Linked DNA regions of Oryza sativa Japonica Group. The protein of the gene in region 1 interacts with the protein of each later gene in a biochemical or structural test. Links are inferred from orthologs where the notes say so. Each region holds a gene or a part of one and is shown on either strand. Other genes may lie near its edges. The genes, in order: E3 ubiquitin-protein ligase KEG and bZIP transcription factor ABI5 homolog.

Evidence for each region.
Region 2: the proteins of E3 ubiquitin-protein ligase KEG (region 1) and bZIP transcription factor ABI5 homolog form a complex in vitro, tested with the Arabidopsis thaliana proteins (2 studies listed by BioGRID, with this or other methods). The link is inferred for Oryza sativa Japonica Group from reciprocal best matches to the Arabidopsis thaliana genes KEG and ABI5.

The regions. Positions count from the first base shown.
Region 1 is NC_089039.1:19,166,326-19,170,600, reverse strand, and holds the start of E3 ubiquitin-protein ligase KEG, read left to right. Parts: upstream 1-1,175; 5' UTR 1,176-1,447; coding exon 1,448-2,211; intron 2,212-3,926; coding exon 3,927-4,275. UniProt on the Arabidopsis thaliana protein: Mediates E2-dependent protein ubiquitination. Acts as a negative regulator of abscisic acid signaling. Required for ABI5 degradation, by mediating its ubiquitination.
Region 2 is NC_089035.1:37,800,066-37,804,047, reverse strand, and holds bZIP transcription factor ABI5 homolog, read right to left. Parts: upstream 2,537-3,982; 5' UTR 2,489-2,536; coding exon 1,517-2,488; intron 1,429-1,516; coding exon 1,357-1,428; intron 1,234-1,356; coding exon 1,204-1,233; intron 1,062-1,203; coding exon 969-1,061; 3' UTR 674-968; downstream 1-673. UniProt on the Arabidopsis thaliana protein: Participates in ABA-regulated gene expression during seed development and subsequent vegetative stage by acting as the major mediator of ABA repression of growth.

The DNA.
Region 1 (4,275 bases):
CTTAGTAGTACGTTTTTTTTACATTTTTTTTCTCAAGTTTGAAAATACTATACCTGGCTTTACTCCTATACTTACAATAACTACGGTCCCCATCGGTTGGTCTAGTCTTATTATAAGCCATAACGGCTTATTAGAGCAGGTACAATAGCAGACTATAAGCTAGCTATAAACATATTTTAAAAATATAAAAGAAGAGAGATAAGGGAAGCGGGCTACAGATCTGTAGCCAGCTGCAACACGGACTCCAAGACGTAATATGTGTATGACAGGTGGGACTAAGTATTAATAGTGTAGTAAGCAGCTATTGTATGAATTGTCTATTACATTGGCTATAGAAGATTTGGAGCTAGTAGTTAGCTATACTATTAAGCTTGCTCTTAACGATTAAGAAATAATATGCGAGTAAAAGTTTTATATATTGTTCTTACCGATTGAAAAGCCAAAGTTGAAAAAAACTATGTTAAAATAGAATCAAAATCAAATTCAAAATCAAGTTTTAAAATTTAAATTTTGGCTTTAGCTTATAAGCCGTAGGGCAAAGGATGAGGCCATACATTGGAAAAAATAATTATCAAAACAACATCTTGCCTATTTGACCATTATACCTATCTAACCAACAAAGAGAATCATATCACTCCGTGGACCAAACGATCGGTAAAAAAAAAAGTTAGCATATCACTGAAACTACATATAGCGTGTACGGGCACGTTGCGGGGAAGCACATCTAGGACAAGCAAGCTCCAAACCGGTCTATCCGTCAGCTCAGCCCTTTCTTGATCGGTGTGGCAAGTTAGCTCGCCAAAAAAAAGAAAATAAAAAAGAGAACATAACAAAGTTGCTTTTAGTTATTCATTCACACTAACCAAGGACCTGTTCACTTTGATGCCAAAAAAAACCTTACTAAATTTTGACATTACCAAAATTTTAATATAGTTGCCAAAATTTTGGCAAGACAGGATTTCTTATATAGTTACCAAAATTTGACAGCAAATTAAATGTAGCCACTTTTTTGATAACTTTATTAAAATTTGGTAAGGTTGAAAATGACATCAAAGTGAACATGACTCAAGTACTAAATCCCAAACCAAAGAGGAGAACTTATTCCAACATCGCCCAAAATCCCCCCGAGAAGGCGAGAACACTCGACAAAACCGGAACAGAAAGTAGAAACGGCCAACACACCACCGCACACCCCTCCCCTCCCAAGAGCGAAGAGGAGAGAGCCTTGCTTGTCGTCCCTCCTAGGCTCCCACCGCATCATCATCATCATCATCATCATCATCATCACCAACCCCCCCATCAAAAAATCCCATTCCTCCTTCCCAAACCCCCCCCTCCCCTCCCCACCGCCGCTCCCCACCACCACCGCCCCCCCAGATCTACCCCTTCTCTCCTCCCCGACGCGCCGCGCCGCGCCCTAGCTAGGGCAGCGCCGCGCCGCGCCGCGATGCGGGTGCCGTGCTGCTCGCTGTGCCACGTGCGGTACGACGAGGAGGAGCGCGCGCCGCTGCTGCTCCACTGCGGCCATGGCTTCTGCCGCGCGTGCCTCGCCCGGATGCTCGCCAACGCCGCGGGCGCCGTGCTGGCGTGCCCGCGGTGCCGCCACCCCACCGCCGTCGGCAACTCCGTCTCCGCGCTGCGGAAGAACTTCCCCATCCTCTCGCTGCTGTCGTCGTCCCCGTCGTCGCCCTCGTTCCTCCACTCCGACTCCGGCGGCTCTTCCTCCGACGGCTCCGACGACGACGACGACGACTTCTTCGGCCGGCCCAGCCGCCGATCCTCCGCCGCGGGGGCGGGGGCGGGGGCGGCGGCGCCGTCGCTGCAGCCCGCGGGCTGCGCCTCGTTCGACCTCGCCTCGCATCCGGACCTCAAGCTCGCCCGCCGCATCGGGAGCGGGCCGCCGGGCCCCGCGGGGCAGGAGGTGTGGTCCGGCACGCTGTCTCGTGGTGGTGGGGGAGGTGGGGCCAAGAGGTGTAAGCATCCGGTGGCGGTGAAGAGGGTGCCCGTGACCGCGGGGGATGTGCTTGAGGGCGTTCAGGAGGAGGTGGAGCGGCTGAGGCGCGCCGCGACGTGGTGCCGGAATGTTACCACGTTCCATGGTGCTGTGAGGGTCGGCGGGCACCTCTGCTTCGTGATGGATCGGTACGCGGGGTCTGTGCAGACAGAAATGCGGCAGAATGGCGGTCGCCTAACGTTGGAGCAGATCCTCAGGTGTGGCATTGCATCTAAACATGGATACTAAGTTTTATTTGCGTGGTTATATTTGCTGCAGTCATGTATGGTTATAGTTGCTGCTATCAAACTATCGATCGCCGAAAATGATAACCCTAAAAATACAGTTGAGCTGGGGCGCTATACGACAGTTTGTCCGCTAACTGTATGTGTTCAAATGCATGGGGTTTCAATGGTGGTTCGCTAAGCTGCATGTCTAGCTAGAAGGATCATAAAAGGTGGAAAATGTTGTAGTTTGAGTACTGACGTGGAAAGCGGTTTTTGCGATTAGTAGTGCCAAATTTGATCTCAATGAGTTTGTAGTATTTGTACGTGTTCGGCAATGTTTGGGTGATTGTCGGCAGCTTTGTTATTCCATCTGTCCTGCATCTTTTGTTGTGTTGTGACATAGTGCTTAGGTCTATTATTAACAATTATCACACTTAGTGCTTGGAGGAATGAAAGATCACTCTTTGTACTACGATTAAAATTCAAGCCAGGCTGCTCAGGAAGTTCAGTGTCCAGTGAATAACATAGTTTTGTTTTGCAATTGGTTTGTTGATTTAACACACATCAATCATTCTACATGTGGAGCTTGAGTTCTCTTTAATTTGTGAACAAAATGATCACTTGTATGTGCTATGAATTTGTACTATACAATGTGCAATCGTTTATTCCCAAAATTATAATTCCTAGAATATTGTGAGGTTCGTGACGGCGACGAATGAAATGCCAACACTTTCTGGTTCATATCTGTAATATTTGGCACCCTGGACATTTCTCCATAAAAGATATAACTCATATGGCTGTTAGAATGGAGGGATTGGAGCAAAGATGGTTGTTCACTGCTGCATTAATTCTGTTCCTCTCAACTCAAACTTTAGTTTCCAAAGATCTGTTGAATACTTCTGTGCAGTGGAATAGTGTGGGCCACTCATTTGTGTTTACCTGATGTAGAGTTTCTTACTATAATAGCACACTCACTGTGTGCTGCAACGGATATCAAATAACTGTACCATTAGTCCATGGGTTAAAAAGAATAAGAAATGATTATCCTGTGATCTAAACAATTTGATACATGTTTTTACTCTTTTTGAAGAAGGGAGTTTGGTGCCACATAAGTTAATGGCCGAATCGGGCTAGTTAGCTTTACTAACAAGAAGCACTTTGTCTCAACACACTCTGGTAGCATTTGATGCGAATGCCAATACAAATGTGGGTCAAAGTTCATCAGCACATTGTCAAACTAACGATGCAAATTAATTTCTGAGCATCCTGTATTTCTGTTATAGTTTGGTGGAACTTTGTGAACTGTAGTTGTCTAATAGAATGTGATATACAATCACAAGTGTCCATGACTCATAACTCATAAAATTCTGAACTCAGATTTCTCTTTTGTCTGGTAGCTACATGGCGCGAATTGCTTCTGTACTAAGTGCATGAAATAGCCCATGCCATACATAGGGAAAAAATAACTTATTTTGTCAGCATGCCAATTTCTTTACTTATTTTTCCATTATAAGAATTGCCACCTCATTTTTCCTAGTATACTGTTGTTATTATTCTTGAGCACATCAAAAGGATTTAGTTTTTTCATCAGTCTAATTATGTTTGACCTTCCCTTTTGTTCAGTCTGATTATGTTTGACCTTCCCTTTTGTTTACTCAAGTCTTTATATCTTCTGATTATATTTTTCCCGAGCGTGAGTTTTGCAGATATGGAGCAGATATTGCTCGTGGAGTAGCAGAACTCCATGCAGCAGGTATTGTTTGTATGAGTATAAAGCCGTCAAATATCCTTTTGGATACAAATGGGCATGCAGTTGTTTCCGACTATGGTCTTTCGGCCATTCTTAAGAACCTCACTAGTCGTAGAGTGTCTGATGATTCCAACATGGTTGGCTTGGATGCTACACTTCTTAGCCCCAATTATACAGCTCCTGAGGCTTGGGTGCCATTGAAGAAGTCAATGAATCTGTTTTGGGATAGTGCAAATGGAATATTACCAGAGTCAGATGCATGGAGTTTTGGATGTACACTTGTGGAAATGTGTACTGGTGCTGTT
Region 2 (3,982 bases), on another chromosome or scaffold:
CCAGTAATCACTACCTGCCGCTCCACGGACCGCCACCACCGCTCTTTCTCAATGAGACCACCACCGTCCCTCCGCTTCGTCTTTGCATGTCCAGCCACACCCTCTAGTTATCAATATATTTTTTTATTCTCCCGTCGTCATGCACGCTATTGTTATGGTGGTCATTGAGATTGAGAGTATTAGACTTGTAGAGACTTGGAGAGGTAGGAACCAACACGAACACGAGTGGAGACGCTAAGCCCGATGCTGGCAACCTCGTGCTTAGGGATGTAAGTAGGTAATCCCGCTACCTGCATAAAAACCTGCTTGCTAGTTTATTTTTTTTATAGTAGTACAAAATTTAAAAAAAAGATAGACTAGAAGTGGGATAAGCGGGAAAAAAACCCGCTTGCCTGTCCCGCTTGCATCCCTGCTCCTGCTCAAGCGACGGCAACACGGCGAGATTAACCGAGGATCGGGGAATTCCCACAAACTAGCAAACCGTGTAACCTCGCGTCAACTTTTCCATCGGATCATAGAAGCCGAACTTTTCGCCATCGCAAAGCCCAAATCATCATCAGCTTGTTTCGGTTTCCAGTTTATTCGGCCAGAAATTTGGGCCGTAATCGATACTACCAAGGTTTGCCTATACTGTAGCTTTTCTTTTTCCAGCGCATATGACATGAGAACAAACTTACAGATACAAACTAGTATACTATTGTATAATTTTATTCATCGTTGTTTTGTACAAACAGCGACATGTAACCATATAAGCAGCAAGGACCGGTGAACACGATGGCAAGACATGTGGGTCCAGGCAGGTTTACAAGCATCACAGCATATATGTATATCAACTACTACCATAATACCTTCACATCACTTAGTCTGAAAGAAGACTTAATGTGCAAATCCTCTTCAGAGCCTCAGAGGCTAGTGCCACACCAGAAGCAGGATGAGTGTGCCACTCGCCGGTCACCGCTATGCCCGTTTCACCACATGCAGCTGCCGCTGCGGCGCAGCTGGCTGCCACCCCTATTTGCATTCATCTTCTCCTTGGACTGCTCCATCATTTTCTCAACCAGCTGAAAAATCACAGGAACACGACATATTTCCATGAGCATATATACACACACAAATAAATGAATAACAAATATGTATTTAATAATTTCACAAAACGATGAGCACTATGCGGAATGGGGATTGCCACATGGGAGAGGACAATACCATTTGCTTCTTTGTCAGTAGAACCGTCTTCTGTAAAAGGAAGATAATATAGACATTGTATATTTATCAGTTCAATGTTACAGAAAAGGAAGGAACGAGACTGTTTAGGAATGACAATGAAAGCTGAGTGGATAATGTTTCTTGCTTTAATACCTCTGCCTCTTTGAGACGAGCGTTCTCCTGCTTGAGATAGTTCAGTTCAGCTTCGAGCTCCACCGTATAAGCCTGTAGCATTATTCATAAAAATTTCAATCTCCATGCAAAATGTCTTAACGATACATAGAAACTAAAAGGTTCGGAGCAACATGTGTACCTGCTTTCTAGCACGGGACCGTGCAGCTGACTCACGGTTCTTGATCATGCGCCGTTGGCGGCGCTCCACCGTCTTCTCGGCGCAGCCATCCTCTCTGTGGGGACGCTTTCTTGTTCCATTCTCAATCATCATCCCATTCCCAATACAATTCATCATATCAGCATGTGTCATGGCACTCATCCCATCTGATGATCCAGGACTCACGACAACCATGGCACCTTGGGCGGGAGGTGGCGGTGGCACAATCGCCATCCCGTTGTACCCACCGGGGTACCCCATGCCATCACCCATCACCGGATACATGGCGTTTACCGGTCCTACTGGGAACATCATAGGACCGCCTTGGCCCTGCTGCATGGGGTTCACCGGCCCGTTGACCATGCCAGATCCCATGGCCGCTTGCCCGGTAAAGGACCCTCGGACCACCCCGGCCTTTACCAAGAAATCCTCAAGTGTCATCTCACCTAGTGTTACCTGTCGGTCGTTAGCTGCAACACCACCGCTCCCGGCATGTGGCTGGAGCGCGGAGGCCGGAGCGGAGGTGTGTGCAGGGGCTTGGTTGATCTCAGTCCACACCTCCTCCACCGTCTTCTGGCACAGCGGTAGCGGCAAGGAAAATGATCCCTGCCGACATAAACCGCTTCCTCCTGCATCACCGCTTCCGCTTCCACTGTCTACCACCTTGGCTTCCTCCATGGCACCCTTGCAACCTCCGGTGGTAGCCTGGAATTCTTCAGCATTCCATATGTTAGCCACAAACTCGTCCATGTTCATGGAACCAAAGTTGCGTCCTGGCTCACACAAGGAGTTTTGTAGCTCTTCCAAGGTGAGGGAGAGGATTGACGACTGCCGCGCCAGTGGAGCAATTTCCTCCTCCCCACCTACTTTTGTACCACCACTTTGGTCACGCTCCTGTGATGTAACCTCTTGATCATCGGTGACCTTCACGTTCTTGCTCATCTCCGATGCCATCTCACTATAACACTCAATTTGTAAAGTTCTATTAAATTTTCTAGGTGTGTCCCTTCAGCTATGGATGCCACCCCTTTTTATAGCCTGTGATGCAAAAACGAAGTTGGCTGTTAGAACATAGAAGAGGGTTGAAAGGTGTAACATGACTGCATCCAAAAAACTTAAGGTAGGTGTGTTGTTTGTCATATGTACTTTATTAAAAGAGTGTGCAACTGATGATGTGCTTGGCTTGAAGTTCTAGGCGATTACGTATGGATGGTAGATAACCAGATAAGCACTCCCAAGTTTGGAAGTTGGCTTATGCCTTATTTTCTTGATGAATCTTTCATACTGCTTTATTTTAACATAGATGATATGGAAAAAATGTGTTGCTCACATGAATGCTACATATATGGATGCCTTGAATGCATAGAGAACGTTACTGGCATAATTTGCGTAGGGCGAAATTACTCTCACCATAATTCACACGGTGTTGAAGGTTTTCAGGCATAGCATCATTCGGATGGAGGTATACCTTGGACTCACCCTCTTTTTTTCTGGACTTCAAGACACTGATGAGGTACTAATATAAATATAATTACACTATCATTTAACGTTTGCTGGCCATTTGACTAGACATCTGAAATAGCTGAAGTGGGTATTAGTTTAAAGTGCTTGCTTCATACAAAGTGTATTGGGTTCAAATACTTGGTCAAGTGCATTGAATTGTTGGTCTTGTTTGGTATTGCTAAACTGTCGCAAGTATACTCCCTCCAGTCATGAAAATGTATCATTTTTTAAAATTGGCACAATTTACAAAAATCAACTTTGACTACTTATTTTCTTTGTATAATTGAAAAATCTAGTACATATAATAATATGATTTTCTTGTGACCAACCGAAATAGTACTGAGATGTCGCATTATATTTTTCTAAAGATTAACGATGTACATCCAAAAGTCACACTATGGGACTATAGGTATATGACACAACTAGAGATAGGTTTGCCAGGTAATTCATAAAAAAATATATGCATACATTTTGCTAGCTTGAAAGTTGGATATTGACAATATTGCTGGTCTTTCAAACAATATTTATAACAGAAGTAATTAACAATCATCATTGTAGAAAAAAAATGATATTTTTATATTTTGTTGTACGGAGTGGCATAACACCAGAGCACTACTTTTAAAGATGAAGATAGAGATTTCGTCATCTTTGGCTGCAAGGACGAAGTTTTGGTTGAACCAAGCCATAGGAGATGACGGGCGGCACCAGCACATGCGTGACTAGAGCAGTCTCATGGAGGGTGGATGCTGCTACACCAGAAGCGTCACCATGTTCGCAGATTGTGGTCAGTGGCGAAGCTAGAGCAAAACAGAGGGTGGTGCACCACTATAGTAGCAATATACTACCATGTTCGAAAATGATATACGTACGACCTATCATGTTTTATCAAAGAACATTATGGTAAACAATAGTAAAACCATTGATTTCAGTATCTACATTAACATG